Linked DNA regions of Pelodiscus sinensis. The protein of the gene in region 1 purifies or fractionates together with the protein of each later gene. This does not show direct contact. Links are inferred from orthologs where the notes say so. Each region holds a gene or a part of one and is shown on either strand. Other genes may lie near its edges.

The links.
Region 2: the proteins of ACVR1 (region 1) and TGFBRAP1 purify together in Homo sapiens (co-immunoprecipitation; 3 studies listed by BioGRID and IntAct, counting the BioPlex papers as one, with this or other methods). This does not show direct contact. The link is inferred for Pelodiscus sinensis from reciprocal best matches to the Homo sapiens genes ACVR1 and TGFBRAP1.

Annotation. Positions count from the first base shown.
Region 1 is NC_134717.1:31,841,242-31,856,500, forward strand, and holds the start of ACVR1 (activin receptor type-1), read right to left. Parts: upstream 7,120-15,259; 5' UTR 6,815-7,119; coding exon 6,807-6,814; intron 6,655-6,806; exon of another isoform or gene 6,469-6,654; intron 1-6,468. UniProt on the Homo sapiens protein: Bone morphogenetic protein (BMP) type I receptor that is involved in a wide variety of biological processes, including bone, heart, cartilage, nervous, and reproductive system development and regulation.
Region 2 is NC_134711.1:233,361,004-233,376,299, forward strand, and holds the start of TGFBRAP1 (transforming growth factor-beta receptor-associated protein 1), read right to left. Parts: upstream 5,940-15,296; 5' UTR 5,824-5,939; coding exon 5,802-5,823; intron 2,043-5,801; coding exon 1,344-2,042; intron 1-1,343. UniProt on the Homo sapiens protein: Plays a role in the TGF-beta/activin signaling pathway. It associates with inactive heteromeric TGF-beta and activin receptor complexes, mainly through the type II receptor, and is released upon activation of signaling.

The DNA.
Region 1 (15,259 bases):
AACAAAACTTTGCACTTACATAACTCCTTCCATCTGTGAATCCCAAAACACTTTACAAGTGTTTGGAAATTAAACCTTCCAACTTGCCTGGGAAGTATCACCACTATTTTACAGATGTAAAAGACTGAAGCATAGATTAAAATCCTTGCTACACACTAAGGCAGTGGTCTCCAACCTTTTTACACCCAAGATCACTTTTTAAATCTCAGAACAGGTGACCATCTACCACCCCGCCCCTTCCTTGAAGCCCCACCCTCTCTATTCTCCTCCTGTCCATCACTTGCTATCCCCAAGCCCTTACTTACACATGCTGATAAACAGTTTATTTTTAAATTATGCAATACATAAAATTAAAATCACGTGTTTATAGTTATGAAATAAATGGTCTGTTTTTTATTCATGCTATTTAAATCTAAAATGAAGCATTTAATTATACATTATAATGAGGCTGGGGGCAGGGGAGAGGGCAGAGGACAGGGTTGTGCAGCAGGGGACAGAGTGCCAGTAGGGACAGGTTTCTGCAGCTGGGGACAGGGTGCCAGTAGGGACCGAGTTCGGAGAGTGGGGACGGGAATAGGGACAGCGTTCAGTAGCTGGGGACAGGAGAGTGGGGACAACGTTCTGTGGCTGGGGAGTGGGGGTTGGGGAATGGGGTGCCAGTGGAGGCAGAGAGTCCCCTGCATCTCCCTCCTCCCAGGATTCTCCCCCCCCCCCACCCCAGAACACCCCATGCACGCGCGCCTGCCCAGGGGGCCAACCCCCCCTCTGCGCGCCTCCCGCAGGGCTGACTCACTCCTCCCGTGCACTGCAGGGAGCCAATGCTCCCTCCCGCAGTACGCCGGGCAAAGCAGCTAGCACACTTCCCGAACCGCCAGAAGTGGCACTAAGCTGCGGGACTGCTGTCCATCCCCAGGAAGCTGACACTACCTCCATTTTCACTTGAGGTAAGTAGTGGGGCTTCTCGGGGGTGGGAGGGAAATGGGGGTGGGCAGACAGGACGCCTCGCGAGCGACTGGTCGAGGCCTCGCGATCGACCAGTAGATCGCGATTGACCTGTTGGTGACCACAGCACTAAGGACTTGTAATACAAAGAGCCTTGTAGAATCCCACTAATGATCATTATACCTAAGGGCTAGCAGGACGGATCCCAGATTAAGCATGGTCTAAGGATCCACTCCCACCCACCCCCTAAAGTTGAGTAAAGACACAGCTCTTTCTTGCTACACAGATAGAAATAAACTATGTTTTTACCCACTGGTGAAAGTACCTTAAAAATTTACAGGTTCTACCCTATTGCAATCTGGCTCTCACCTGGCTTTTGCCACAACTCAGCTAGCTCTTGAAAGAGCTGCACTCCACAACACACCCACTTACTTTTTAGACAGATGTAGATGTACAAACACAGGTTACAGGAACCCCACTTGTAAGGTTAAGTTGTTAGAAAAGGGAACAAATCTAAGGGATTTCCCCCTACATCAACTCCACATAAAATGTAAGTTCCACTCTACTGTGCCACTTTCCCTGCTGTAGGGGAGAAGAGGGTTTTCTATCACTTCTCCCCAAGAGCTTCTCAACTGCTAAGAATGAGCAAATCTCTACTTCCTCAGTTTCCTGGGTACCTTACTTGGATGCATCAACAACATGGGGAAAAAAATAGATCTCAACCAGGTTGACATGTCAGGCTGGACATAAGTATAAACAGTCATCAAAAGTTATAGTTGAGAATACAAAAAAACCCCACCCCACATTCTTCCAGTTTGTGAACATGGAAGTTTAAGTAACGAGATTCAGGAAATATAGCTGAAAAAAAGCTCCCAAGAAGGTCTGCAGGGACACAGACTGAAATTCTGTGGGCATCATTTGAACAGTTACAAAACCCTTTTTAAGTAATGAGTGTGACTACAACATTCTATATACCAAGTAAACACAAGCTAACATGATTGACTTGCAAAGATAAAGCAACCCATATGCTTCCATATTCCTTACAATAAATGAAGGGAATAGCATGGTTACATTCATTCCCCTCATGCAAGTAAAGTTAGGAAGATTAATGTAGCTAATAAATAGGCTTTTTACAGGCTTGACCACTGTGGTCCAGTGCCCTTGGGACCTGGCCAGTCCCAAACAAGGACATTTGCCAGACCAAGGGAGGTCCCTGGTCACCAGCCTCCTGGACACCCACCAACTCTGCTTCTGGCCCCAGCTGGCCCCCACTACCTTCAGCCAGCTGTGCTGCCAGCCCTGGCTGGACCCCTCAACTCTGGGACTCCCAGCTGTACCCACCTGAACCCCTGCCACAGTGCTCCTAGCCATACCAATAGAACATCCAGTGCTGCCTAAGCCCTGACCACGCTCCTGGCTGTGCCACCTGAGCTCCCCGTACTGGCCAAATCCACTGCTGTGGGGCTCCTTATGCAGGAAGGGCACCATTTCTCTGTTAATTATAATTCATGTAAATATGTCTAGGAACAGGACCGCAGATGTTGCCAGATTAGAAGTCCCGGTCTAGGGAGGTACAACCTGTAGAATCAAACTTATCAATGTCAGTATGTCTCTATTTCAGCACACACAATGAAAAAGTATTCCCACAATTACAATTGAAGTTTAGACAGACAAAACGGGGAGGGGGGGAGGGGTGCTCAAGAACATGTGATTTTAGGCTATTTATTTCATGTAGTTTGGCATATGATGTTGACAACCTGTTTTAACCATTATAAGCTTAGAGTCTCGGGCTACATATACACTACAGGGTTTTGCTAGTAGATAGCATGCTAATGAAGCACTCATTAGCATTTGTCACTGTCATTAGTGTATTCTCTGCCTGAGGCTTTTGGCACAAGAGGTTTTCGTGCAAAAACAAGCAGCACAGACTGATCCGTTTTGCTCAAAACGGATCCGTCTACATGGCTTGGTTTTGCGCAAAAACCTCTTGCACAAAAAGCCTCAGACAGAGAATAAGTTAATGACAGCATGACAAATGCTAACAAGCACTTCATTAGCATACTCTGCCAGCAAAACCCTCTAGTGTAGCTGTAGTGTAGTGTCTAGCACCATTAAATAGTTGTCTGACCACCATTCCCCTTCATAAATTTTGGAAATTGTGGGAAGTCAACTCAATAAAAACTTAAGCCAAAGAACCAAAATTAGGGTAACTGAAGATTTAAACTGATAAAAGCTATAAGGACACTTAAACAACATTAGCCATCAAAATAATAATAAAAAATAAAAACCCAATTTCTGTCAGACCTACTTATAAAAGCACTGGATGAAAATAGAAAGAGTCTGCCAATAGAGCTGTCTGTAAAGTAGAGCAGCTGATACAACTGACAGCGACTGGTACTGCTACTATCAATAATATCCAAACAGGATTTCTATTTCTCTGCTTCCAAATTTGAAATGTGTTATATTTACATGAATTATAATTAACAGAGAAATGGTGCCCTTCCTGCAGGGTTTAAGAGAAACAAAACAAAACACCACACCATAGCCCCACCTTCTATATTTTTGGACAGACTACAAGTCATCACAAAGGCAGATGATGTATAAAGTGAAATGGTTGTAGAAATGATCTTAGTCACTGCAGTATGTACAGTATATCTTGGAAGTGTATCCTAAAATGGAGACAGAGGAGAAATGATCACTGTCCTTAGGTTGCAAAAAAGGTGTATGAATAGCTGGGAAGGACTAGAAGCAAGAACTATGAATAAATCTTGGGCCATCTGGGTCAACAGACAAGTCCCAAAATATATGGCATGCCAAGGGCCCTTCACAATGTTACTTATAATACAGACAAAAAAATTTTCATACTAACTGTACATTCAGGGGGATGGGCAAGTTACTTACAGTATGGAACACACCACAGTTAATCTGTAGTGAGTTTGTTTTTGTTTTTAAAGAATACTTTTGTATTGGAAAAACCACACACACACACACACACACACACACACACACACACACACACACACACGATGTCCAAAATAAGTAGACCCATCAAAGGAAGCAGCAATGCATTTGCCAGCTGCTTCTTTTGAGTGCTTACCTTTCCTCCTACCTTCAAATTCATACTCTTCTTTGGAAGAACATTATTCTCAAACATTACACCTTTACAGATAGATCTTGGAGGGCATTTATAAAATACTTGATGTGGTCACTATGGTTGCCATGGGTAAGCAGCATAGGGGATAATTCAAGGCTATAGGACACAGAAAGGAAAACTGAAGAGACATCTAAATACATCATTGACCATAAACAAATTATTTCATTTGCTTCATCCTTTTCATTAACAGGATTTTTTCCTAAGTAGAAGATTGGGGACCACAGAAGTGTCTCAGTGCTTGTCATACAAAAACAGATAATGTCTGTAGATTCAAAAACATGGTTCTACCTGGAAATCTCAGTTACTCCATTTTGAGAATGTTCACTTGATGGAAAAATTCACTTACAGCTAACAACCCTTCAAACTTAGACATTCAGATTCCAGGCTCTCTCCTATATCACCACCAATAACAAAAGTTCCTTTAAGACAAATTATGCCCTCAGGTGATAGCTGTACATGCCCACAATCTTCAATAGGTGTAAGCAGGGTATGAAGTCAAAGGAAAGTGAGTCATTCTTCCAGTTTACTATAAAATAGGGATGTGAATGGTTAACAGTGGGGGCCACTAATTTTTTACCTCAACAAGGCATTGCTATAAATTACATTACTGGAAAGGCTAACAACATGCTTATGCCCCAATGTTTACAAAGTGTAGTTAAAATCTTTAGGTTGATGTATAGATGAGCCCATTCTCACCTACATAAACAGTTGTTTGATTTAATCATCCATAAATGCATTGCACCATCAAATCATTAATGAATAAAATGGACTTAAGAGATTCAAATGCACACATTATTTTTGGCTTGTTATTTTCAATGGCATCTGCCACACTGGAAGCCAGTGTGTCTTCTCTCTCATATCAAGAAATAGGAAATGTAACCATTTTAAACATCACCCAGGAAGATTGCATTGTATATAGTCCAGAACATTTGTTCTACAGTCAATGACTCAGGCACATGGTTGTTTGTATATAAACACTAACAAGCACTGTAACAGATGAATAGAGTGGAATTTGGTATCTAGTATTATTCTCTTCAGAAAGCAGTCATTGAGACTGAGTTATTAGCAAGAGCTTTCCCTCTTCTCCCCCCCCCCCCCAAATCTGGAAACTCTAAATCGAGCCAATTAGCAAAATAAAAGGCTGTTTGCTATTATACCTATCCATAGGATAAGGCTAGAGAAGTTATCCTTAAAATTAATACTCAAAAATGTAGTTTAATTTTTCCTTTTAAGGTTTTCTTTCCCCTGAGTAAGAGAATTGTTCACATTCTCAACAACTGAGACATTTTCCTTCCTCAATACCCATTTCTTCACAACTTTCTTAATTGAGGTCTTGGGGGAGAAGGAAAAAGATAAATGGAAGATTATTTTCTCAAGGCTGAGTTCTAGACCAGACAAGAATCCACAGACTGTGTTAATACCATTCTTCATCAGGCTAATGGGATTGCTCTTGAGGAACAGCAGTCAGCCTTGTCTCACAGAGCTGACCAGAGTAACACAAAAGCGCTTGCTTCCTGGTCTCTTTCAAACTAGTAACCATTTCCTACAGCCTGCATGGAATGCTTAGAAGGCCACGTTCTACATTTCTGAACTGTGATATTTGCAGTTATCAACACACAATACAGGAGTCCTGGTAATATCTATTTATGTCAGAGGGTTTTTTTCCACACCATGAAATCACATAGGTCAACCATTTTCAAGTTGTCCTATATGACTTCAATGCATTAGGAAAGGGATCCTTGATTACTCAATGAGCAAGTGACAAGGACAACTTCGTATCACGTGGACTATGTTTTGGAGAGATAGTTTAAGGCATGTTTGATAAATACTTTATAAATATTTACAAAGCTTACAGAAAAGCAACAAGTTCTATTTTGGGCTCAGGTGATGCATTAAAACTCTGCTTACAGACTTTTAATATTGCTTACAGGAAAGAGACTTAATGGGAAACCAGACCCCACTAAATAGCTGCATTCTTCAAAGGACTAAATTACCAACGTTTTGTGTGTGTTACTCATTGTCATGTTTATCAATCAGCATGAGGCGACTGAAACAACAGGAAAGTGTCAGCCTTGTTCACCAATCCTTTCTACATTACAAAAGGAACTTGGAACTAGTGAGAACTCTAGCCTGTCTACAAAATGTTTTTGTGCTGAAAGCAGTGACAGAAGAACCCAGAGGCGAACCGAAAATAGCAAGTCGTCCATTTAAAAGCAGCATTCATCCACCCAGCCAGCCCACCGCCCTCTTCCTTCCCCCATTTTCGCGTGTGAGATTCCCAAGCATTTCCCCCCCCAACCATTGTGGTTACAGCGTGGAGGGAAGGGTTTAAACTTGGCAAAGTGACGTGCAACATCTGAAACCACATTTACCTTGGGGGAACCAGAAGACGACTCCCGCCGCATTCCTGCCTTCGAAGCTGGCCACACGGCAGCTAGCGAGGCAGGGCGCGCAGGGGAGGTCACCGCCTCTCGTGCACTGGGGGCCCAAGGCCCCCGGCGGAGGGAGACACCCGGGGGAGGCCGGTTGGCCGCTGCGGGCAGGCGCCGGGGTTTGGCTGCCCGCGCCCCTGAAGGCGCCCCCAGCCCGAGGGAGGCAGCGAGCCGCCCGCCCGGACCCGGCCCTTCCCAAGCGGCTCGGGCCCCACTGCCGGCAGCGCGTCCCCCCGGCCCGGGCCGCCCGCCACAGCCGGGCCGGCAAGGCCACTCACCGTCTCATAGCAGCGCAGCGGGAGGCGGCGGCGGCGCCGGGCGCTAGAGGCGGGCTGCCCTCCCCATGGGGTGGCGGCGGCGGCTGCACGTCGCTGCGCTCTAATCACGGCGCTTCCCCTCGGCTCAGCCCAGCCGCATCCCCCCAGCCCGGCGCGGCGGCGGACAAGGGGCGGGAGCTGGCAGGGAACGAGACGCCGGAGCCAAATTTTCCGGCGGCGGCAGGAGGGGCCGGGATGCGGCAGGAGGAAGTGGCTGCGCCGCGCTCTGCCAATGGGCGCCCGGCGCTGTAATTAATAACCAGGCACCAGGAGCATCATTTCCTCCCGGCACCGGCCCAGCGCGCCGCCCCGCCGCGCCCCCTGCAGGCCACGTTCGCGGCCCCCGGGCCCCGCGTGAGGGAGCCGCCAGCCGCAGGGCAGACGCGCCAGGCGGATGTGGATTGCGTTTCACTCAGGCCGCCGCAGCCGGTGGCGCTGCCGTCTGGCATAGAGTGCCCCTGGCGAGCCCGAGCAGCCGGGCGGGTTGGGCCAGGCACCGAGCGAGACTGACTTCAAAGCAATAGGGGGGGTGGGGCTGTTCTCTTCAGCCGCCTTCCATTTCTGAGCCATTTTAGGATGGACTTTGGTCACGCTCTCCAGCCTTTCTCTGCAAGCGGGACACTAGGCTTTTTAAAACTGGAAGGCTGTGTCTAGACTGGCAAGTTTTTCCGCAAAAGCAGCTGCTTTTCCAGAAAACCTTGCCACCTGTCTACACTGGTCGCTTGAATTTCCGCAAGAACACTGACGATCTCATGTAAGAAATCAGTGCTTCTTGCGGAAATATTATGCTGCTCCTGTTCGGGCAAAAGTCCTTTTGCGCGAAAGGGCCAGTGTAGACAGCTCAGATTTGTTCAAAAAAAGCCCTTATTATGAAAATGGCGCTCAGGGCTTTTTTGCGCAAAACCACATCTAGATTGATACGGATGCTTTTCCGCAAAAAGTGCTTTTGCAGAAAAGCGTCCGTGCCAATCTAGACGCTCTTTTCTGCAAATGCTTTTAACGGAAAACTTTTCCGTTAAAAGCATTTGCGGAAAATCATGCCAGTCTAGACGTAGCCGAGGTGTATTGCCAGGACACCAGTCAGGCTGAAATGCCAAGAGCTGCGCTGTGACTTGCTGCAGTTTAACCACATCTCTTAAAAACTGATTTAACCTTACAGGGATGCAACTTTGGCAGCTGACAAGGACCCAGAGAATGCAGCTATAGAACTGCTCCTTCACTAGCGAGCAGGGCACAGGCACACTTGCACCAGGGAGCTGTGAGAGATGGGCTATTATGCCAGAGGAATAGGTAGAAAACTTTTGAGGCAATGAGCCCCAGCAATATCCATACTCATGTCAGACAGAGAGCCACTTACCGAAACAGTGTCACTCACAGATCTTAAAAACCAATGACTAGTCCTGTGGCACCTGAGAGATTAACAGAGAGAGAAGACAGTGTGTGCCATGAGCTTTCTGGGCAAAACCCACTTCTTCAGATGAGATGATCTTGAGTTTCCCTCTACTCCTTCAGCTTTGAATTCCTTGCTTTCTGCTCCTCTCCTCTTCCTTCCTTCCTTCCCCCTCCTCCCCCCCAGCCTTCTCTCTGGCTCCTGCAAAATATACTACAAATTGAATGGAATAAATACCTAGTATGTGCAACTATCCTGAATCACAGGAGGCATTGCAGTTGTGCATTCAGATCTGCATTTATTGACAAACATGGGAGGCAGTGGATGGAGAGGAAAGGTGAGTGTACAAATTCAGCATTCATCCGTGTTTCTGTGAATTAACATAGGAACATTTGGACAGTTTTGGTCCTTTAACTGAGGCCATTTAAAGATACAACCACATACATTAAAAGCAGAATCTGGCTCCTTGTATTGTTATTCAGGCCCATTCACTTAAAATTTTGCTGGCTTAGGTATGTCAGGAGTGCAAAAACAACACATCCCTAACTAACATAGCTATTCTAGCACAAGTACGGTTCTGCTGGTAAGAAGGTACTTTTGCTGGAATAATTTAATTTTGTTTGCAGAATAGCATAAGATATATCATCACAAAAACTTTTAGGCCAATAAAAACTGCATCCACTCTAGAGAGTTTTACCAACATAGTTCTATATATTGCTATACCAGCAAACCCCTTCTAGTATAGTGGTCTTTCCTCAATATAAATTTTATTTATTAAACTTAGATCTGAAATATGAGAGAGTAATCAAATAAAGATGGAATCTCCAGAGCTAAAGGGAAACACTGGCTGTGGTTCAGGAGACAGTTTGCAAAGTAGGAAAATCCAACATCTGGGGCTCATCACAAGAGGCAGTTTACAAACTCAGGACAGGGGAGAGGTTTTGGTGCTAATGAAAAAAATTGTTCATCTGGACTCTCTCTGGAGTCTCACTAGTAATTGCTTTAACAGTCAACAATCAACTTTAAAAAATACCATTATAAAATACATAGTAGAATGTTTCTGATTAGTAAGTAGACACATAAGGAAAAAAATGAGCTGCTCTGTGAATTTGTTCTCCGTTTTCATAATTCTGTACCAAATAATGAAATATGCAAAAAGTTGGATTCATCTTTTGACTGTCAACTACTGCTGGCAACTTATTTTTTAGTTTCCTACATCTTGTGTCTGTACACATGAAAAATAAAGTAACAAATATTAATAAAATAAGTAAAATAAAACTTCACTGCAGAATTAAATGTATTTACAAGAACAAAATATTCTATGAACAGTTATGCTTGAGATTCTGTCAGATATGTTGTTCTTTAGGAAGATCATAGAGGACCCTAGTTTAATTCTTCTGAACAATTGATCCATTGGTCTGCATTAAGGTAATGAACTGAAGGGACTGAATAGGAAAATAAATTGATTTATGGATATTTTCTGAGTTTATATAATTTCTGCATATACTTACAATCACTGAATAATCACATGAATCCTGAAGGTTAAAGGACTCATTTTAATTCACTTTAAAATGCAGCAGGTTCTGGAGAGAGATGTTACTATGCTAATTTGTGAGCTTCAAGAGACCTGAACCTAAGAACAGCCATACAGGATCAGACCAAAGGTCCATCTAACCCGATAGCCTGTCCTCCAGCAGTGACCAATGCCTGGTGCCCTGGAGGGAATGAACAGAACAGGTAATCATCAAGTGATCCCTCTCCTGTCACACAGTCCCAGCCCTGACAAATAGAAGCTAGGGACATCATCCCGCCCCATGGCCCTATCCTCCATACATTTTTCTAGACTTTGAATTATCTGGAAGAGTGGAATGGCAAAAGAGGCAGTGACATTAAAACACTGCTGTGGCAGCATGGCTGGACTCTACTGGCAGAGCTGCTGACACAGGAGAGCAAACAGGGCAGTTGCCCTACAGCCCTATTAGAAAAAAACTGCCCCTCCCCCGGTAAAAAGTTTGGCCAGGCCGCTCTTGCTATAGTGGGCTGCAGTACTCCTTGGGAGAAACCGGCCGCACCCTTCCTGCATACCATTCCCTTTAGAAAAAGGGAAGGAGTGAAAAGGGGAAAATAGCTTCAAACTCTCCCACCCGTCACCTTGGCATGAGAACTTACCTGGTCGCATGAAACCTGCTCAGCTTCGGCCCAACCCCTGGAACACAGACCCCCCACTTGGTGACCATTGGGCCATATATGGTAATATGCAAGCGCGGGAAAGCGATGTGCAGATTTGGGGATAAATACCCATCGCACAGTTCACGCGAGGGGGTCTTCGCAACACACGTACCACCGTGCATGTGCCTGCTCGTATACTTCAAAGCGCTGCCGATCTGATCAACCGACCAGCCACCTCCCCCGACACTCGGGCGTAACCAAGATCTTCGCAACCGAACCAATATCTTTGAAATGTTCCGTGTGCTGTGTAAGTTGGTATGTATGATTTGATTTTTCTTGTTCTATAAGCTTGGTGTTGTAGTTGTTTTGGGTAGTACATAAAGTTTGTAGTTATCACTGTTATTTAATTAGTGTAGCTGGATATTTTTAGAATAGAGACTATTCCCCTTGCCATTCCCATCATAAGAACATAAGAACGGCCGTACTAGGTCAGACCAAGGGTCTTTCTAGCCCAGTATCCTGTCTACTGACAGTGGCCAGCACCAGGTGCCCCAGAGAGGGTGGACCAAAGACAATGATCAAGCGATTTGTCTCCTGCCATCTCTCTCCAGCCTCTGACAAACAGAGGCCAGGAACACCATTTTATCCCCTGGCTAATAGCCTATTATGGACCTAACCTTCATGAAATTATCTAGCTTCTCTTTAAACTCTATTATAGTCCTAGCCTGCACAGCCTCCTCTGGCAAGAAATTCCACAGGTTGACTACACGCTGTGTGAAGAAGAACTTTCTTTTATTCGTTTTAAACCTGCTACCCATTAATATCATTTGGTGTCCTCTAGTTCTTCTATTTAGGGAACTAATAAATAACTTTTCTTTATCGGCCCTCTCCACACCACTCATGATTTTATAGACCTCTATCAAATCCCCCCTCAGTCTCTTTTATAAACTGAAAAGTCCCAGTTGCTTTAACCTCTCCTCATATGGGACCCGTTCCAAACCCCTTATCATTTTAGTTGCCCTTTTCTGAACCCTTTCCAAGGCCAAAATATCTTTTTTGAGGTGAGGAGACCATATCTGTACACAGTATTCTAGATGTGGGCGTACCATAGTTTTATACAGGGGCAGTAAGATATTCTGTGTCTTATTTTCTATCCCTTTCCTAATAATTCCTAGCATCCTATTTGCCTTTTTGACCGCCGCTGCACACTGCATGGAAGTTTTCAGAGAACTATCCACGATAACTCCAAGATCCCTTTCCTGATTTGTCGTAGCCAAATTAGCCCCCATCATACTGTACGTATAGTTGGGGTTATTTTTCCCAATGTGCATTACTTTACACTTATCCACATTAAATTCATTTGCCATTTTGCTGCCCAATCACTGAGTTTGGTGAGATCTTTTTGGAGTCCCTCACAGTCTGCTTCTGTCTTGACTATCCTAAACAGTTTGGTATCATCTGCAAACTTTACTACCTCACTGCTTACCCCTTTCTCCAGATCATTTATGAATAAGTTGAAAAGGATCCTTATATCTCTGATATGTTTAGCTAGAAATCATAGAATATAATAAATACTGTAAATTCATTATTAACACGGTCTATTAAAAATCTCAGAATAAATACTATAAATTCATCACTGTTATAAATAAATATTTTTTATTTGATAAAACTGTCCACCTGGTTCTATCCTTCCTCCCTTGGGTATGCATCATCGGACCTGTGATTCTCATGACAAGCCCCACAATCTAAAAGGACTCAGGGCTCTGACCCATTGTGGCAGCAGCAGAGAGCCCTGGGTCCCTCAAATCACCGCTAGAGCCCTCTGGCTCCCAGCTTTCATGGGTGCATCCCTTGGGTTCTTGGCTGCTGGCCATGAAAGACTGGCTGAAGGGAGCTGCCCCACCACCACCACCAAGCACAGCAGGCTCAGTGCATGGCCCATCAGTAAGTCCCTGCTTTTGCTTTCGCCCCTGGTTTTTATTATTCATAAACAGGGCTCACCAAGCCATGGCGACCCCTGCTCGCCAGCTGCACTGTCCAGCGTTCTGCACCTGCACAGATCGCCCGAACCCGGCTCTTCCGGGATGTAAGCTACTCGCTATGGGCAAGTAGATTACATAGATTGTTGAGCCCTGTTCATAAACCTCTGAGAACACTTAAAGTAAAAGTGTTAATCCAAGGAGGAGGAAAACATGTAATTACAACAAGGATTACTTGTTCCTATGCCTGGTCTATGCTCAGTTTTTACACTTATCAGGCTCAAACTCCACTAATATAAATACCTTAATATAGATACTAGGGAGATGCACCCCCTGCTCACTACGCTCGCCAACCCTCCCTCTCGCTGGCCGCTTTCACAGCCAGAGAGCCTGTTAATCTTGCACCAAACCCAGCTGCACTCTCCATGGCCCCAAGTCACTTGCACCCTTCTCCACTACCGCCCATCACACCCCTGGATGAGCCCCTCTATCTGAATGCTCTTAGCCTATACCACCTGCTTGTGCCCTTCAGTCTCCCCTCCCACATCCTTCCTGCTCCTGCCCAACCTGCCAATAGTCCATGGCTCACAGCCCACCCCCCTCCTTCCATCCCTAGCCCTACCTCTGTCCTCCGTTCTTACACCCACATCTGCCTGCCTCCATTCCTACTCATCATCCTCCCTAACCCCTCCTCCCCATTCCCCTCCTTCCATCCAACTCCCAACTCCATTCCTACATCTACCCATCTTCTCTAACCTCTCCCCTGAGGGGAGTGAGCAGGGAGCATATTCCTGTAGTATCTATATAAGGTATTTATATTGGTGGAATTTGAGCCTGATAAGTGTAAAAACTGAGCATAGACCAGCAACTAGTCGACTAGTCCTTCACATCCTTGTCAGAGAGTGGGACTTGTAAGATTGTCAGTGTTCTTGCGGAAATGCTATGCTGCTCCCATTCAGGGAAAAGCCCTCTTGCGCAAATGCTTTTGCTCAACAGGGCCAGTGTAGACAATGCGGTATTGTTTTGTGCAAAAAAGCCCTGATCGCGAAAATGGCAATCGGGGCTTTCTTGTGCAAAACCGCGTTTAGATTGGCACGGACGCTTTTCTGCAAAAAGTGCTTTTGCAGAAAAGCGTCCGTGCCAATCTAGACACTCTTTTCTGCAAATGCTTTTAACGGAAAAACTTTTCCGTTAAAAGCATTTGCGGAAAATCATGCCAGTCTAGACGTAGCCAAGGAGTTAACTGCTTGCTTAGGATGGTACAGCTTAGGAATGCACTGTTTACTTTTAACAGGCTCTGAGACCCATTTCAAGGCTATCTACCTGGTCCAGGAGGGAGGGATTGTCTGGGAAGATCAAATAGCTATCTATGTTGAATGTTTACCACCTGCTAAAGCTAATTATTTCACTTGGGAAAATAGTCGATGTATTAGTAATTTTGCCAGGTTCTCAAAACAATCGGTGTGAGTAATGTAGATCCGATAATATATAGGTGCCGGGGATCTTCCTAACATTGGAACCTCGGCGTAGACCGAAGCTGCGGAAGGTGCTATGTACTGGCCACTGGTGGCCATCCCCTGTCCTTCATCAGGGGGTTCCCAGCCGCAGAAGGGACGTAGGCGTTGCATTTTATTCTGAGGTTTGCTTAGGCTTAATAAGCATTGTACTTTCTTAGTAAGCCTTGTATTTGCTTAATAGGTATTGTATTTTATTTTGTGATTTGCTTAATAAGTACTGTACTTTATTTTGAGATTTGCTTAGTAAAATCTTTAAACCTTCACCCAATTTGTGTGCTTATTGCCTCCAAATCCTTTAAGGGAAGAACCATGGCCTCTTGGCAATACAAGGGGGTCTCCACCATGCAAAGGCAGGTGCCCCCTCCCCCCCAGATAGCCCACCCCCCACGTGGCTGTGTTGGCAGCCTCTCCAGATGCTGCTGGGCCTTCTCTCTGTGAAGCCTCAGGGATTGCCGGACAACAGTAGCAGTTTCCGCAGGGGTGGCTTGGTGCTGATGCAGCCAGTCGGGGTGCAGCAGAGGATGGGGCAATGGGCGGCTGGGGCATGGAGCCTGCATCCATTCCCAGTATGAATGAGCCGCACCCTGGGCTCTGCACCAACTGACGCAAGCCCCTGCATTGCGGGCTGAAAGCCCCCACTTGGAAGGAACACAGCCTTGTGGCCCCTCTCTCTGGTCAGCGAGCCAAAGCTCAGCCCACCCCATGCACATGGTCATGCACCACAGCCAGCCACCACAAGCCACATGGCACAGTGGTTGCAGGGGGCCAACAGGGCTGGCCCAGCATGCACCCAGCACCTCCTCTTACCCACCACTCCCACGCCACTTCCCCTGGAGGACTGCTCCCACAGATGCCTCAGGCCCTCTGGCTTCCGAGAAAGCCTCCAACATCCCCAGGTCCAGATGCCTCAGAGCCTCTACCTGGGGTTTCTCCTCCAAGTAAAAGCAGCAGTGCTGCCGCAGTCCCATTCCAAGCAGCAGACTGATCCGGAGCGGCACCCAGGCCCTGGATGGAATCGCTTCCTGCCCCAGACACTGTCTGGGGATGGGCAAAGATGCTTGGCAGTCTGGCCTAGGCACATTCTGCCTCCGAAGGGTCCTGCTTAGCTCTGGTCTCAGCCCTTCAGGAAGCATAATCTACCTAGGACGAGCTGCCAGAATAGCGTCTGGGGCAGGGAGGCTGTGAGAGGGTGGAGCCTGCGGGATACAAAGGCTACGTCTAGACTGCAGGCTTCTTTCGGAAGAAGCTTTTCCGGAAGAGATATTCCAAAAAGCTTCTTCTGAAAAAGAGTGCCCACACAGCAAAAAGTGCATCGAAAAAGCAATCTGCTTTTTCAAAAGATAGCGTCCATTCAGTGTG
Region 2 (15,296 bases), on another chromosome or scaffold:
AGAAGGTGTGTTTTAATTCAAGTGAACTTGTTTGCTTTCTGTCACATAAGCACAAGCCAAGTCAAATAAATGTGCCTTGTATCTGGAGCCCAGGTTGGCAAGATTTGTAATGGACTGTATTCGACACTTCAGATACATGACCAACAAATCCAGTAAATTCAATGTAACTGAAACAAACCTGACAGGTAACGGTGGTCTTGCCTATAGCTACTGGATCTCTTAATTCATTTTGTAGAAGCTGCACATAGCCCTGAGTTGGGACCTGGATACTTGAGACAGACTATCCCTTTATGTCATACTATGCTTATGGTACGCTTATGATTAACAGAGGCATTCAAGTTGGCTCCCCATCAATCTAAGTAAAGTGCTGGTTGTAGAGCATTTCCCAAGAGGGGTCTTCATCTCTGAAATGGACTTGCTTGTGATCTAAGAATTTCAACTATACTGGCCATCAGAGCACACCTCCCAGCCCCCCACAATAGCTGTTTATGCAGTGCACAGTTAGATGCTCCAGAAAAAGGGGGCTTGGATGTTCTGCATGAGATCTAGCTTTGTTTACACAGTTTGGCAGGTCTCCCTGAAGGTGTCTCCTAAATCTGTCTAATGTAATTACTGCTGTTATTCCTGAAGTCTACTGTAGGGCACTACTAACCAACAGCATGACCAGGGAAATTTAGGCAAGTATGCAAGACAACCAAAAAAGTAACTTCTGCTGTTGTGCTGCAACTTTACAAGGAACTAAGATTGAGTATCAGTACTAATTATCCTCAAAACATTTAATGATCGTATTATAGTGAAATGCATGTATCTGTAGCTCTTGCATTGCTTTATGAAGATGGGGGAGTATAACTACCTTTCAGTGATGAAGCTGCAGACACACTGATTTTAAGTAGCTTCTCCCTGATCACAGTAAGTCTGGCACAAGAAAATTTGGTTTGCTTGAGTCCCAAATCATTTACTATAGCCAGAATTGCACGCTAACAGTCTTAATAATTCCATTTGGTTTTTACTTTGATATGCCCTGGGGAAAGAGTAGAATTTATTCCACCTGCATTTTTCTATTTCCCTGTAGACAGCCCAAAACCAAGTTTATCTAGATCAATTGAAGTTTACCATTTTAAAGTGATATGCAAATTTTGCAAACTTGTAAAACGATATAATGAGAATACCCAGGAACAGCTTTAGTGAATTACTTATCTTTCAATTTTCAAATATTTCAAGTATAGCCTATAAAGAAATGCAGCATGTATTCTACATTTTAACATCAATTACTAAAGTAACCTCAATCAACATGAAATGGAGTGAAACTTTAAATTGGAAGTCAAAAAAAATTTCAATCTCACCTAACCCGCCAGGTCCAGCCAGCAAAAACTCTTGTCTGCCTATCCTTTTCACAATTGGTCGTTTCTCATCACTGCAATAAGGGAATAGATCCTGGGAGGTGCCAGTATTATAATTCAATATAATATACTGCGTAGTGAGTGCAAGGCATAAGTAATGACCATCTACAGCTACAGCACATGGTTGCTCCGGAGTGAACACTTCCTTCACTATCTGGACTTTATCCTCGTACACCATAAACATCTGGATGGTCCGCCGTTTCACAGAGATAATGCAAACTTCTACACAAAAAGGGTCCCCACTCACAGGGTTTTCATTTAGTGTGAATGTCACAGCTCCCTTGATTCTAGCTCCAGTAGGAATAGGTTCCAGGTTCATCATGTTAACTAATGTTATTGTGTTGTCACAAAGCACCAGTAACCTGTTGAGTGCTGAAGCTGCTTTCAGCTCATTGACAGCTTTCTTAAAGCCCAAGTATTTATGCAGTTGTTTGGTGGTGGCAAAAGTTATTTTTCCAGCTGATATCTTCTCTTCTAGTAGGAAGTGATAGACAAAGCAGTCGTTGGTTCCAATATAGAGGTTTTTCCCACAGCACTCAATACATTCAACATTGATTCGAGCTTTGTCTCCCATTAGCGTCTCCCGCTCAACAGCAGGAACAAGCTTGAAGGCCTTCACACTCATTGTGTCTTCTGGATGTCCTGTTTTGGAAGAGAAAAAAAAACCACAACATTTTATTCACATCTCTAAGTCCCGCTAACTTTAAAAGGCCTTAGCCAATTCTGAAATAATTACCCTCTGTCTAAAGGAGACCTTTAGGCTGGTAAATTAATCTTTCACTTAGCACTTTATACTCCATCTGATCAAATTTATGCTAATGGCAATCTAGAATTATAAAATATGCCATTCAGAAATCTTCTGCTTTTAATAATAAATATATTCTACCCTTGATATGCACATAATATATTTTTACCGTTACAAGGGAGTGCACATCAAAGAGCATCTAGAACATAAAACTCGCAAGCAACCTGGATTATGCTGTGTATATTCAAAACATATGTCTGATTCAAAAGAAATCACCTCAGGAAAAAAAAGAAAACCTTTAGGGAACTAAATAAATTGAAAAACTATGAGTAAAGTATGCATAGAAAATGGAAGTAATTTACTGAATTCAAAGCATAGCTTACTTGAGAATACAAAGCTGGTTGCTTTGGGTGCATAAACCAAGAGACCTCTTCCAAGTGCTAGATTGTTACTTTCTACTTCTACACATCACCATATGGAGCTCCCAAGTAGTAACACAACACTAAACATCTTACTCTGTCTACATGTAAAGATACTAGCATATTTTGGGCACTGTAAAAGTAACTTTCCATAGCATACTAAAAATAAAAAAAACTCCAGACAAGCAGCTGTGTTCACAAAATATTGCAGTCAATTATTACTTTTTCTGAATTTAAAAAAGGTGACGTGCAAGATAAAAAAACTACAAATCTAGTTCATTTGGTCATAGAGAAATCATTTGCAAGCAGAAGAAATAAAAGAATAAATAACTTAAATGTTGGTGAAGTTGAACAGCAATTCATAATAACCAACAAAGCAATTTACAAGTTCCAATATATTGAAAGAGTTTGGTACTTTTATTCTATACCAATCTCTCAAAACTCATTTTAAGAAGGGCAAATGATATTTTGAATTGTAGCCTGGGGGCTTGAATTAAAGCTAGATTAATATTACTACATGCAATCCATAGCATCTCTCAGATAATGGGAGCTTTGCACAAAAATAAAGAGCCATATGGTACTCTCACACAGTAACTAAGTTTTAAGTGGAAATAGTCAATTTCACTAGAAGAGAAAAAATTAAGGACACCATTATTTCTGCACTCCATTTGACTATCTGCATTTGCAATTAGTAGATTTACCCACAGAACTGCATGCCCAATTTATTGGAAAATGTAGCCCACAAAGTGTTCTCATGAGGTTTAGAAGTCAACAGCACAAAAATTTAACAGGTATTGTTCCCTGTTCTCAGAGCTGTTTGTCATTAATACGCTCATTCACCTCACTCTTCAGAACCATTATCTACGAGCATTTTCTCTGACAGATCTTCAGAATGTGAATCTCATGATCAGGCCCTGTGTAATCAGTTTATTTTACTTTTTTAGAAAATTCACTATAGTGTAAATAACAAAGTACTAAAATCACAAAAATTTGCATGGAATTAATTTTACTACTAAGTTTATTCAGTTTCAAGGGTGGAATGATATAGGAGCATAGCACTGTAAATAATTTTTTTGTACTGCAGGTTTTATTGTTAACAGTTTCCATTTTTTATAAAAAAGGAAAAATCATTTTTGTGGGGTATTTTCGTGATTTCCAAGAAATCATGATTTATGTGGGATCCTACATATGGACAATTACTTTAAGACTATGTCTACACTACAAGGTGGAGGGTTCACACCTCAAGCGCACTTCTGCACAAGTAAATCAGCAGAAGAGAAAGCTTTTGGCGGTAGTTATTTCTCTCCCCACGAGGAATAACTCCTTTTTGAGCAAGAGCTCTTGTGCAGAAAAGTCAAGTGTGGATGCTCTGTAGGGGTTTCTTGAGCAAGAAACCCCTATCCGAAAAAGCACAGGTGTTCTGACGGCCATTCTGTGAATGGCCATCAGAGCTTTCTTGTACAAGAGTATCCATAAAGTGTCCATGAGGACTGGATGCGCTTTTGTACAAGTAGTTTTTGCGGAAGAACTCTTCCGCAAAAGGCTTCTTGCACAAAAACCCTACAATGTAGATGAAGCCTAAGAGTGGCTCCAACTCAGTGTTGTTTTTTGACACCTGACCACATTGCTATCAATTATATTTTCTGCACATCCAAATTAAATTTAGTATTCCAAAGTTAATTCCCCATTTAGCATGTTAGGCAAACAAGCATTTGTATCACTGATGAAATATGAGTATTGACTAGCTTTTCGTACTTGAAGAGGTCCTTGTCCTAAAGCACGAACCACCAGAAAGCAGTTCTCCCACATCCTTGAAAGTTTGGGAGGGAGCGGAAGTGAGTGACAAACTAAACCACGTGAGTCTAGCACAATCTCCCTCAAGAGTGTTATTAAAACTTGAGAATTCTGACTGCTCTTTAGGCAGTGTACAGTGCTACACTGAACATTTTAGAGAGTTACAGGCCTGTGGGGGAAGTCACTAGTAAGGATTATTCATCCACAAGTGCTTAGAGGTAAACAACAACAACAACAACAACATTTCAAATAAAATGCTTAGGTCCCAAACATTTGTTTGCACAAATTTGAGAAAACCAGCACCATCTAAACATTACTATCCACCATCCAGAACATAAATGTTAATGCTTTAAATAGGAAAATTTCCATCAGTATTCCCAATGCAGTATACTTTCAAACCATAAGATCACAGAAAAGCATAAGCTCTGTCAGACACCACGGTAAACTATTTTGGGCCAATGTTTTCAAACTTGGATCATTAAAGTTAGGCTAAAATCCATTTTTAATCATCTGCATAGAAGTGGCCTGATTTTAAGACAAGATACAGCTACAACTTCAATTTATAACAGCAGACTGAAAGTGCTAAGGACCTTTGAAAAACAGGTCATTTCTAGTTGGACGCTGAAAAATAGCTTTAGGGCATAATTTAATGTATTTAGGTTTTTAAATCTAAACTTTGGTTATATCTGCACTCCCCTTCCTCCCGCCATGGGCTTAGCTACCTAGTCTGAAAAATAGCTTGTAGCCTACAGTGAAAAGCCAGCCCCTAAACTTTACACTGCCCTTCTTACCTCTGGCTGTCAACATTCAGTCAAAGTTCCTGTAGCCAAGGGTAAAAAATGCTGATTGCCAGTGGGAGAGCTGGTTCTAACCAAGTACAAGTCTGGTTCTAACCAAGACAATTTTAAAAACATCTTCAGAATAAAGGGGATATACAAAGAAATATGCAAATAATCAAACTAGTTAGAATCCTCCAGTAGCCTGTGCTGCTAAAATTAAATCATGCAAATCCTGGGCAAAAACCATAATGTAATACTATACAGATTTAGTGTCTACAGAAAATAAGTGATCTGGCTATATATCCAAGAATAAGGTTGTTGAGAAAGTTTCTTTCAACTTAAACACAACCAGTATGCTATATCTTTTAAATGTATCTTTGATTAAACATCTTGCAACATGTTGTGTTTTAAGCAGATAGCACTGGTATAGGTATCTTGGAATATGCTATTCCTTGTAAGTACCAGATTCCATCTCTCTCAGAAATAGCAAGGGAAATTGTTCAATATTGAACATCAATAGCATAATCCCTAAAAGTGGCACATGCTACCATCCATTGCAATTACTATTGTTACCCATTACTTAGATATTCAATATACATACAAAAATACAATATTTGACCCTATAAATTAAAAACATTTTGGAGACATCACTGAAAAGCCTCACCCTGCTTAAGGCTTTGCCTCATTGATTAGTCAGTACAGTACAATGTAGTGCAGTTTGGGTGTAGCCCTGTCGGTCCTCAAATCTCAGGCATACAAGGCAGGTGACTGAACAAAACAGACACACCTGTCACCTGTGGGGGAACACTTTTCACAAAAAGCGAGCATCATCGTAACTCTCCTATCGGCCCTTACGAGCACAGGAAGCCGGCACATCCCTTTCAGAAGACGAGCCTGAGGGCTTCAGTTCACAACTCGGCCAGACACCAAACATCATGGGCTCCCCTGACACACTGGATTGGGGGCTTTATTACAACGATCCGTAAGCCGCTACCTTCCCGCTCGGCCCTCTGACCGCAGAGGCGCTCGGGGCTCACGCTGCCGGGCCCCGACGCTGCGGGCCGCTGCTCACCCTCCAGAGCCGTGCCCCGGGGACAGGCTCTGCCTGGGCTTGCCCCTCTCGCCAGCGGCTGCCGGACAGACAGACAGACGCGGTCCCCTCACCCCTGCGCCCGCCACCGCTCAGCAGGGAGCGCCCGCCCCGCCCGGCCTGGCGCTGGGCAGAGCAGCGACCCGGAGTCACCCCCCGCCCGCCCGCCCGCCCGCCCGCCTCGGGCACCAGCGCGGCCCCCGCGCCCGGACAGCGGCCGCTCCGGCCGGACAAAATGGCTCCTGCAGCCCCCGCCCGCAGCCCGGACACAGGCCGGGGCCGGCCCAGGGGGGCTCAGGTCCGCCCCCGCGGCGCTTACCGGGGCGGCCACGGCCGGGTCCGGGGCGGCCTGGCCCCCGCCGCGCTACTGCCGGCGGGTCTCCGCCTGCGGCCCGCCCGGGCGCCCTGCCTCCTCCGGGGGCGGCTCCCCGCCCCCCTCCTCACGCTCCTTCCGGTCACGTGAGCGGCGCCGGACACGGGAAGGGCGGGGCCTGAGGAGGGCAAGGGGAGGAAAAGGCGCCGCCCCCATTGACTTTCGTGGGCGCGTATCCCGCAGACCCGCCCCGTACTCAGCCCATCCCCCAACACTCACTATTCCCCCCCCCTCCCCCCCGCAAGCACGTCCTCCCTCGGCGTTCCATTCACGCAGCGCGCGCGCGCGCGCCCCGCCCCTCTGCCCAGCGCCCCGCACGCACGGGACGCTCCTCATGCGGGTGCCCTGCACGTTCGCTCCGGCCAGACCTCGCCCCGCCCCCCCCCCCCCCCCGTCCTCAGCAGCCGGGCGCTGTGCGGGCGCGGGTCAGAACTTCGACAAGTGCAGTGGGTGGCGCAGCAGGGCGAAGACCGGCCCCTGCCTCCCTGCCGCGCCCAGAGCTTACGTGCCCCCGTGTCCAGCTCCTAGGTCCAGGGGTAGTAACAGGGGGTCTGTGCACACTGCCCCTGCCCCTAGTGTGGGGCCTGTAGCGGGGAGGTTGCCCTAGGCTAAGTGCCACACCTGGGCCACTGGGAGAAAAGGGGTTGCCCCAGCCCTGTGCCCCGTATGGACAGTCATGCCCCTTCGCCATCTCTGTCCCAAGGAGCCAAATATCCGGGGGCTCTGCATCCCATGTGCAGGCTTCACTTCCTGCCCAGGACCCTGCTCAGCTTCCATTCCCACGCTCAAGATTCTCAGCCAACCCCTTGTCCCACTCAGCTGCTGGCCCTGCTCTCAGGGACCTGGCCACAGGCCCTTGGTCCCACTTCGCTGCTGTGACCACACAAATGGTCTCGGTGTCCAACCCTGGTTCCCACTTGGCTGCTTGTCCTGTTCTCGGGGACTTGGCCACCACTTCTGAGCCCCGCTCAGCTACTGTCCTCATGCGAATGTTCTTGGTGGCCAGCCATGGCCTTGGGTCTCACTTGACTGCTGGGCACTGGCCCTGCTGCTGAGCCCAGCTTGCAGGATCCCACCTAGCTGCCAGAATGAGGATTTTGGACACCGACCCTATTTGTAGGATCCCAGCTGCTGGCCACAGCTCTAAGGATCAGTTGGGATGTGGACGGAGGTAAGGGGGATGCAGCTCAGCATCATTACTCCAAAAATTATTCTCGTGCCACTACAGGACATGCCATCCACTTCTGGGAGCTGCCTGAAGCTCTGCCTTGGCCCCAAACTTTGATCTAGCATAAGTTAACTAAGTTATAGTTTACAGCCTTATTAGGGGCCTGTAAAAAATAATAATAAAAAAAGACTCCATTTCAAATGTTTATGAAAACTGGTTGATAAAGGATTTATGTGAAGAGGAAGATTCTTGCTGTAGACATTTTTGTTCAAATAGTACTAACTCAAAGCAGTGAACAATTATTTGATTTAGATGGGGTTGGTCCTGCCTAGAGCGGGGGGCTGGACTTGATCTTCTGAGGTCTCTTCCAGTTCTATGATTCTATGATAAGGGGATGGTTGAATGAAATAACATGATCATGGTAACTAATTGACCATTATCAGTTGGAAATAGGTCAATGGAGGGATGATAGGAGTTACTATAGAGAACTTTCTGGGTGTCTGGCTGGTGAGTCTTGCCCACATGTTCAGGGTTTAGCTGATCGCCATATTTGGGGTCAGGAAGGAATTTTCCTCCAGGGTAGATTGGCAGAGGCCCTGGAGGTTTTTCGCCTTCCTCTGTAGCATTGGGCACAGATCACAGCTGAAGGACTCTCTGCATGTTGGGGCCTTCAAAGTATTTGAAGGCTTCAATATCTGAGACATAGGTGAGAGGATTATTCTAAGAGGGGTGGGCGAGATTCTGTGGCCTGCACTGTGCAGGGGGCCAGACTAGATGATCATAATGGTCCCTTCTGACCTTAAAGTCTATGAGTCTATGAGTCTATTGTACTTCACAATAGCCAGACCTTTTTGGTTATTGCAAATCATCAAATATTAGTAGTCAAAGATAATTTTTATCAACAGATCCAGACCTATTTACTTCAATGTCAAACATCCTGGGTATGTCTAGACTACATGCCTATGCCGACAGAGGCATGTAAATTAGACTACCCGACATAGTCAATGAAGCGGGGATTTAAATATCTCCCACTTCATTAAAATAAAAATGGCTGCCATGCTGTGCTGGCTCACCTGATCGTTGGCACAGCGCAGCAGTCAAGACGCGGATCTTTCGACAGGGCAGCCTTTGTCGACTGTTCCTGTAAACCTCATTTCACAACCTGGATTTGTTGATAAAAGCGGGGGATATTTAAATCCCTGCTTCATTGACTGGAGTCAGCTGCTGATCAATTTCAGCAGTGGCTGACTTGGGGACACCTGGGACAGAGCAGCTGGGGTGCTGCTGGGTTGGTCTTGCAGTGCTGAGGGGCGGCGCTACGGGACCAACCCGACAGCACCTCAGCTGCTCTGCCCCAGGCGTCCCCAAGTCAGCTGCTGCTGAAATTGATCAGCGGCTGACTCCAGGAAGCCCGGGGCAGAGCTGCTTGGTCCGGCATCCAATGCTCCGGCACTCCTGATGGTCTGGAACCATCGGGAACCTGAAAGTGCTCCGGGCAGTCGGACAATTGGAGCTGCTCTACCCCGGGCTTCCTGGAATCAGCTGCTGGTCAGTTTCAGCAGCGGCTGAATCGGAGACGCCTGGGGCAGAGCAGCTCCAATTGTCGGACTGCCTGGAGCACTCCCAGGTTCCCGATGGTTCCAGACCATCAGGAGTGCCAGAGCATTGGATGCCGGAGCAATGGAGTTTTACTGTAATATGTGATTCATAGAGAAATATTTATGTAAAAATAACATAAAATAGAAAGGAGCTAATGGTTCTACAGTGTTCTTTATATTAAAATACTTTGAAGTTTAAACTTTTTTACACTAGGAACTGAAGGTACTTTGATAAATGTATGGAAAGGTTGGTTTGTTTTCACTTAGTATGTATTTTTTTTAATAAATATTTTTAAATTGCTGTGGGTAGGAGAAATACAATGACTTAAAAGAACATGATATCTTAAGGTTTTGAAAAACAAGGCAAACATTTAAAATACAATGAAAAATACTTGGTTTTTTTTCTGAGTAGTTTATAAATAACAACTACTTAGAAAATAAATGGCATGTGTCCTCTCTTAGATTGTGATTCTGCAAACATGTATGCATGTGCTTAATTGTACTACTGTAATTCCACTAATTTAAATAAGCCTATTCATAGTAATAAAGTTAAGCTCATGCATAAGTGTTATCAGAATTAGGATCTTAAAATGATACATGGATAAAACTACAAAGAAGGAATGACTTCTAATATTTGACAAGTGCCTATCTCATTTATAACTGCTTATATAATAGCAAAGATTAGCATGATTCTTTACACTATAAAGATGGATTCACCGACCTAAGGAACATATGCCAAATTTCCATTCAGTTATAGAGGTAACATGGGTTGCTAGAAAGTTTTAGAAACGATGGGATAAGTACTGACTGGTCAGACACCAGTAACCAGTAAAACAAGTCCCTGGCAGTATTTCGAACTAGGGGGTTAGTGTAGACATACCCTTGGATAATTATTATCTTGTCCAAGATGTTAGCACTGTGGCATGAAAATTGGTCTTTAATTCTTTTCCTTTTGTTATATACATCACTGCCCTCTGCTGGATACACTTTGTCCGATCTATTCAATTGTTCATACACTAAAGTTACAAATACCTAATGGAGCTTGTTCCCAATTCTGAAATGTCTGAAACACTGGACAAAATGTAATGGTTGCTGTTTCAAAAGTTTACAACTGACTATTGACTTCATATAGCTTTGAAACTTTATTATACAGGAGAAAAATGTTGTTTTTAACATTTTAAATTTAAATGAAATAAGTTTATTTACTTTGTAATCTTTTTTAAACTTCCCCTTTATTTTTTATCATTTTAATATTTAACTCTGTTTTGTACAGAATAGTATTTCCTTTTTTGGGTCTCTGCTGTCTGATTGCATACTTACACTTCCAAGTAAGGTGTGTGGTTGATTGGTCACTTTGAAGCTGTTGTTCACAACTGTTTACACCTCTGCTGTCAATGAAATAGACACAGAGTGTCTTATATGTAGTGTAATGTACTTCTGGAGAAATTTGCACTAAAAAATTAACAATTCTATGCACAATATTTTATTTTTCAAAAACAATGTAATCACTCCAATTTCAATTATTTTGGTAATTTATTTCAAAATACAAGTCAGCAAGTATATATGTACCAATACAGACAACAAAAAATTCAGAATTTTTTTGACAAACTGGTTATATATTAGGTATATTATTACAGAACTTTGAGTTAATTTAAACTACAATTCAGAAACATATTTCATTCATCTTTCAAAAACAGTATAAAGGCTTGAGGGAGTTGGGGTAAGGGAGGAGCTGAGAAACAGGGAATAATTGCTAGGTAAGAATCTGAGTGTGACCTGGAGAATTATTGGGTATGGGTGACATAAGTATGAAACAGGTTTGATTTTTGGGAAAGGGATTTTGAGAGATGGGGAGCTTCCTCCATGCAGACCCTAGCTGACCCCTAACCTTTCACATTCAATCATGAATCTGTGGCCCTGTCCCCATATGTCATAGAATCCGAGGGCTGGAAGAGACCTCAGGAGGTCATCAAGTCCAGCCCCCTGCCCAAAGCAGGACTAACCCCAACTAAATCATCCCATCCAGGACTTTGTCAAGCCAGGACTTAAAAACCTCTAGGGACGGAGATTCTACCACCTCTCTAGGTAACCCATTCCAGTGCTTCACTACCCTCCTGGTGAAATAGTTTTTCCTAATATCCAACCTAGACCTCCCCCTCTTCAATTTGAGACTATTGCTCCTTTTTCTGCCATCTGTCACTACTGAGAACAGCCTTTCTTCATCCTCTTTGGAACCTTCTTTCAGGTAGTTAAAGGCTGCTATCAAATCCCCCTTCACTCTTCTCTTCTGCAGACTAAACAAACCCAAATCCCTCAGTATCTCCTGATAGGTCATGTGTTCCAGCCCCTTAATAATTTTCGTTGGCCTCCGCTGGACCCTCTCCAATGCGTCCACCTCCTTTCTGTAGTGGGAGGCCCAGAGTTGGACACAATACTCCAGATGTGGCCTCACCAGTGCCCAGTAGAGGGAAATAATCACTTCTCTAGATCTGGTGATAATGCTCCTCCTAATGTACTCTAATATGCCATTACCTTCCTGGCTACAAGGGCACACTGTTGATTCATATCCAGTTTCTCATTCACTGTAATCCCCAGGTCCTTTGTCAAACTGCTGCTTAGCCAATTGGTCCCCAGCCTGTAACAGTGCTTGGGATTCTTCCGACCCAAGTGCAGGACTCTGCTCTTATCCTTGTTGAACCTCATCAGATTTCTTTTGGCCCAATCTTCCAATTTGTTGTCTAAGTCACTCTGGACCCTATCCCTGCCCTCCAACATTCCTATCTCTCCCTCTCGCTTAGTGTCATCCGCAAACTTTCTGAGGGTGCAATCCATCCCCTTAGCCGGTCATTAATAAAGTTGCTGAACAAAACCGTTCCTAGAACCGATCCCTGGTGCACTCTGCTTGAAACCGACTGCCAGCGATACATCAAGCCATTGATCACTACCCATTGAGCTTGACAATCTAATCAGTTTTCTATCCACCTTACAGTCCATTTATCCAATCCATACTTCCTTAACTTGCTGGCAAAAATATATGGGAGACCCTATTGAAAGCTTTGCTAAAGTCAAGGTATAGTACATCTATTGACTTCCCCATGTCCACACAGCCATTTACCTCATCATAGAAGGCAATCAGGTTGGTCAGGCATGACTTGCCCTTGGTGAATCCATGTTGACTATTCCTGATCACTTTCCCCTCTTCCCAGTGCTTCAAAATGGATTCCTTGAGGATCCCCTCCATGATTTTTCTGGGGATTGAGGTGAGGTGAGGCTCACTGGTTTGTAGTTCCCTTTTTTTTTGGATTGTCCTTCCCTTTTTTAAAAGATGGACACTACATTTGCATTTTTCCAGTTGTCCGGGATCTTCCCTGATCTCTAAGAGTTTTTAAAGATAATGGCCAAAGGCTCTGCTATGACATCTGCCAACTCCCTCAGTACCTTCAGATGCATTAAATCTGGATCCATGGATTTGTGTGTCTAGCTTTTCTAAATAGTTCTTAACCTGTTCTTTCTCAACCAAGGGCTACCCATCTCCTTCCCATACTGTGTTGCCTAGTGCAGAAGTCTGGGAGCTGACCTTGTCTGTGAAGACAGAGGCAAAAAAAGCATTGAGTACTTCATCTTTTCCCACACCCTCCTTGATCACCCTTTTATTGCTATCATGCCTGTAGAAACCTTTCTTGTTACCCTTCTCAACCCTTGCTAGCTGCAATTTCAGTTGTGCTTTGGCCTTCCTGATTATGCCGCTGCTTTCTCAAGCAATATATTTATACTCTTCCCTAGTCATCTGTCCAAGTTTCCACTTCTTGTGAGCTTCTTTTCTGTGTTTTTTTGTTTTTTGTGTGTTTCCTTTTGTGTCCTTGTACCACTGCTCAGCTGCCCTGTCCATATGTGTGCCTCCCTCGGCCATCTTCCATGGCCCTGCATCCTCAGTCCCATTCAGCCTTTGTCCCAGTTCCCCCCTGCAATTAACTCTTTGTATCCCAGTCTATGTGACCTCCCAGTAGCCCCATGTGCCTTACTCTTTCTGTCTGCACCATAACCTGTGCCTCCTCACCTGGCCCTACAGGCAGGGTGCTATGAGGAATGCAGCTTCTCCTCCTCCCTATTGGCTGCTCTGTCTGGTCCAATATTATCTCAGAGAATCTTCACACTTGTATAGAATGCTGGACAACTAATTAATGTTTAATAGTTCATATTATAACATTAACTCCTGAAGTTTCTGAATAACTAATTGGAGAGAGTAGTATTTGTAGAAGGAAAGGTCCTAAGTTACACTTATTTATCTTAATGGATTAAAAAATACCTCTTGCTGTGGTACTATGTAGTTTGTAATGTGACACTAAACAAAATAAATCATTACCTAGAGTGAATGGTAAGGTACACTGATCATAAAAATGATGTCCCTCCGTCCTGTCCTGGAATATGTCTTTTTAGTTTGGTTCTCAGCAGTCTGGTCCTAATCCTGAAAAGCATGTGCCTAATGCCATTGACTTATGACACTAAAAAGGATCAGGAGGTTATAATGGGTCACAAATTGAATATGAGCCAATAATGTGATGCAGTGCCAACAATTCTTGGTTGTAATAAGACATGAGAGGTAGAGATGTAAAAGAGTAGTCAAATAGCTGACTACCTGATAAGCCTAGGTTTATTGGGTAGTCGAGTCAACTACAGGTGAGACCTCCCATGTCCAGCATCATCAGGTCCTGAACAAGAGAATTTGCTGGACCAGGGGAGGTCTCCTGCCACCGGCCCCCAAGCTCATCACCTGCTACTGGCAGGCTGCCCCAGCAGGCAACCCTGCTTTGCCCCTCCTGCCCGGTCTGCTTGCCCAGCTAATGCTGGCTTCATGGGCGGCATAGGCTCCAGCTCCTGCTGGGAATCTCAGGTCCCATGTAGCCAGGGGCAGCTCTGGGGCAGGAGCTCCAACTCGGGCCCCACACAGCCTCAGCCCAGCCTTGCACAACTGGGGGAAGCCATTGGAAGCTGCATAGCTCATACCCCAGGCCCTCGCATCCCCAAGCCCAACCCCACATAGCTGGGGGAAGCTGCAGGTCTCTGACCCTGCACTGCCACAGGGCTCTGGCCTCAGCCCTGCATTCCTGGGGACTGCTGCAGGGCTCAGGCCCCGGTCCTGGGCTGACCCTGATGCCCAGTCTGGATAGCCCTTCTGCTTTTAGGCTCCCGGGCTCTCTGGTCCAGGAGCATCCATGGTCCTGCCAGACCAGGGATGATGCTGGACTAGAGAGTGCCAGATTTTGGAGTTACAACCTGTACTCGCATTCCCCCCACCTGCTGCCTTTATATCAGAGGCAGAGGAGAGCAGGAGCTGGTGCTGGGGGGAGGGAGCTGGTTTAAAAACATGTGCTGAGTGGGGGGGAGTGCAGGAGAGGCAGAGGTACTCTCTGCCTTTTAAATGTAGTGAAAGCTGATTGGCTCTTACAACATTTAAAAGGCAGAGGCACAGCTGTCTAGACCAGCGCGAGCTCGGCTCTTACTACATTTAAAAGGCAGAGACACATCGGTCTGGACCCAGTGTGAGCCAGAGCTGAAGCTGTCCCGGATTGTGCCGGGTCCCAGACCTATTCTCACTCTGCAGTTTAAATGGGGGGAGGGGGGAGACACAAAGGGGCCAACTGACCCAGGGCCAAGTGATTCAAAAGGACTAGGGACTCCCTGCTGTGGCCAACATTTCTGTGGCGATGGTGGAGTCCCAGGCCCTTTAAATTGTATCAGAGGGGTAGTCATGTTAGTCTGTAATTGAAAAAACTTTAAAAACAATTAATAGTTCTGCAGCACCTTAGAGACTAACAACAAATGTAGATGGTATCATGGGCTTTCATGGACACAATTCACTTCTTCAGATGACTGGAGTTTAAGGGGTCCAGGTTCCAAATAAACAGTAGAGAAAAAAAGGGGTGGAAAAG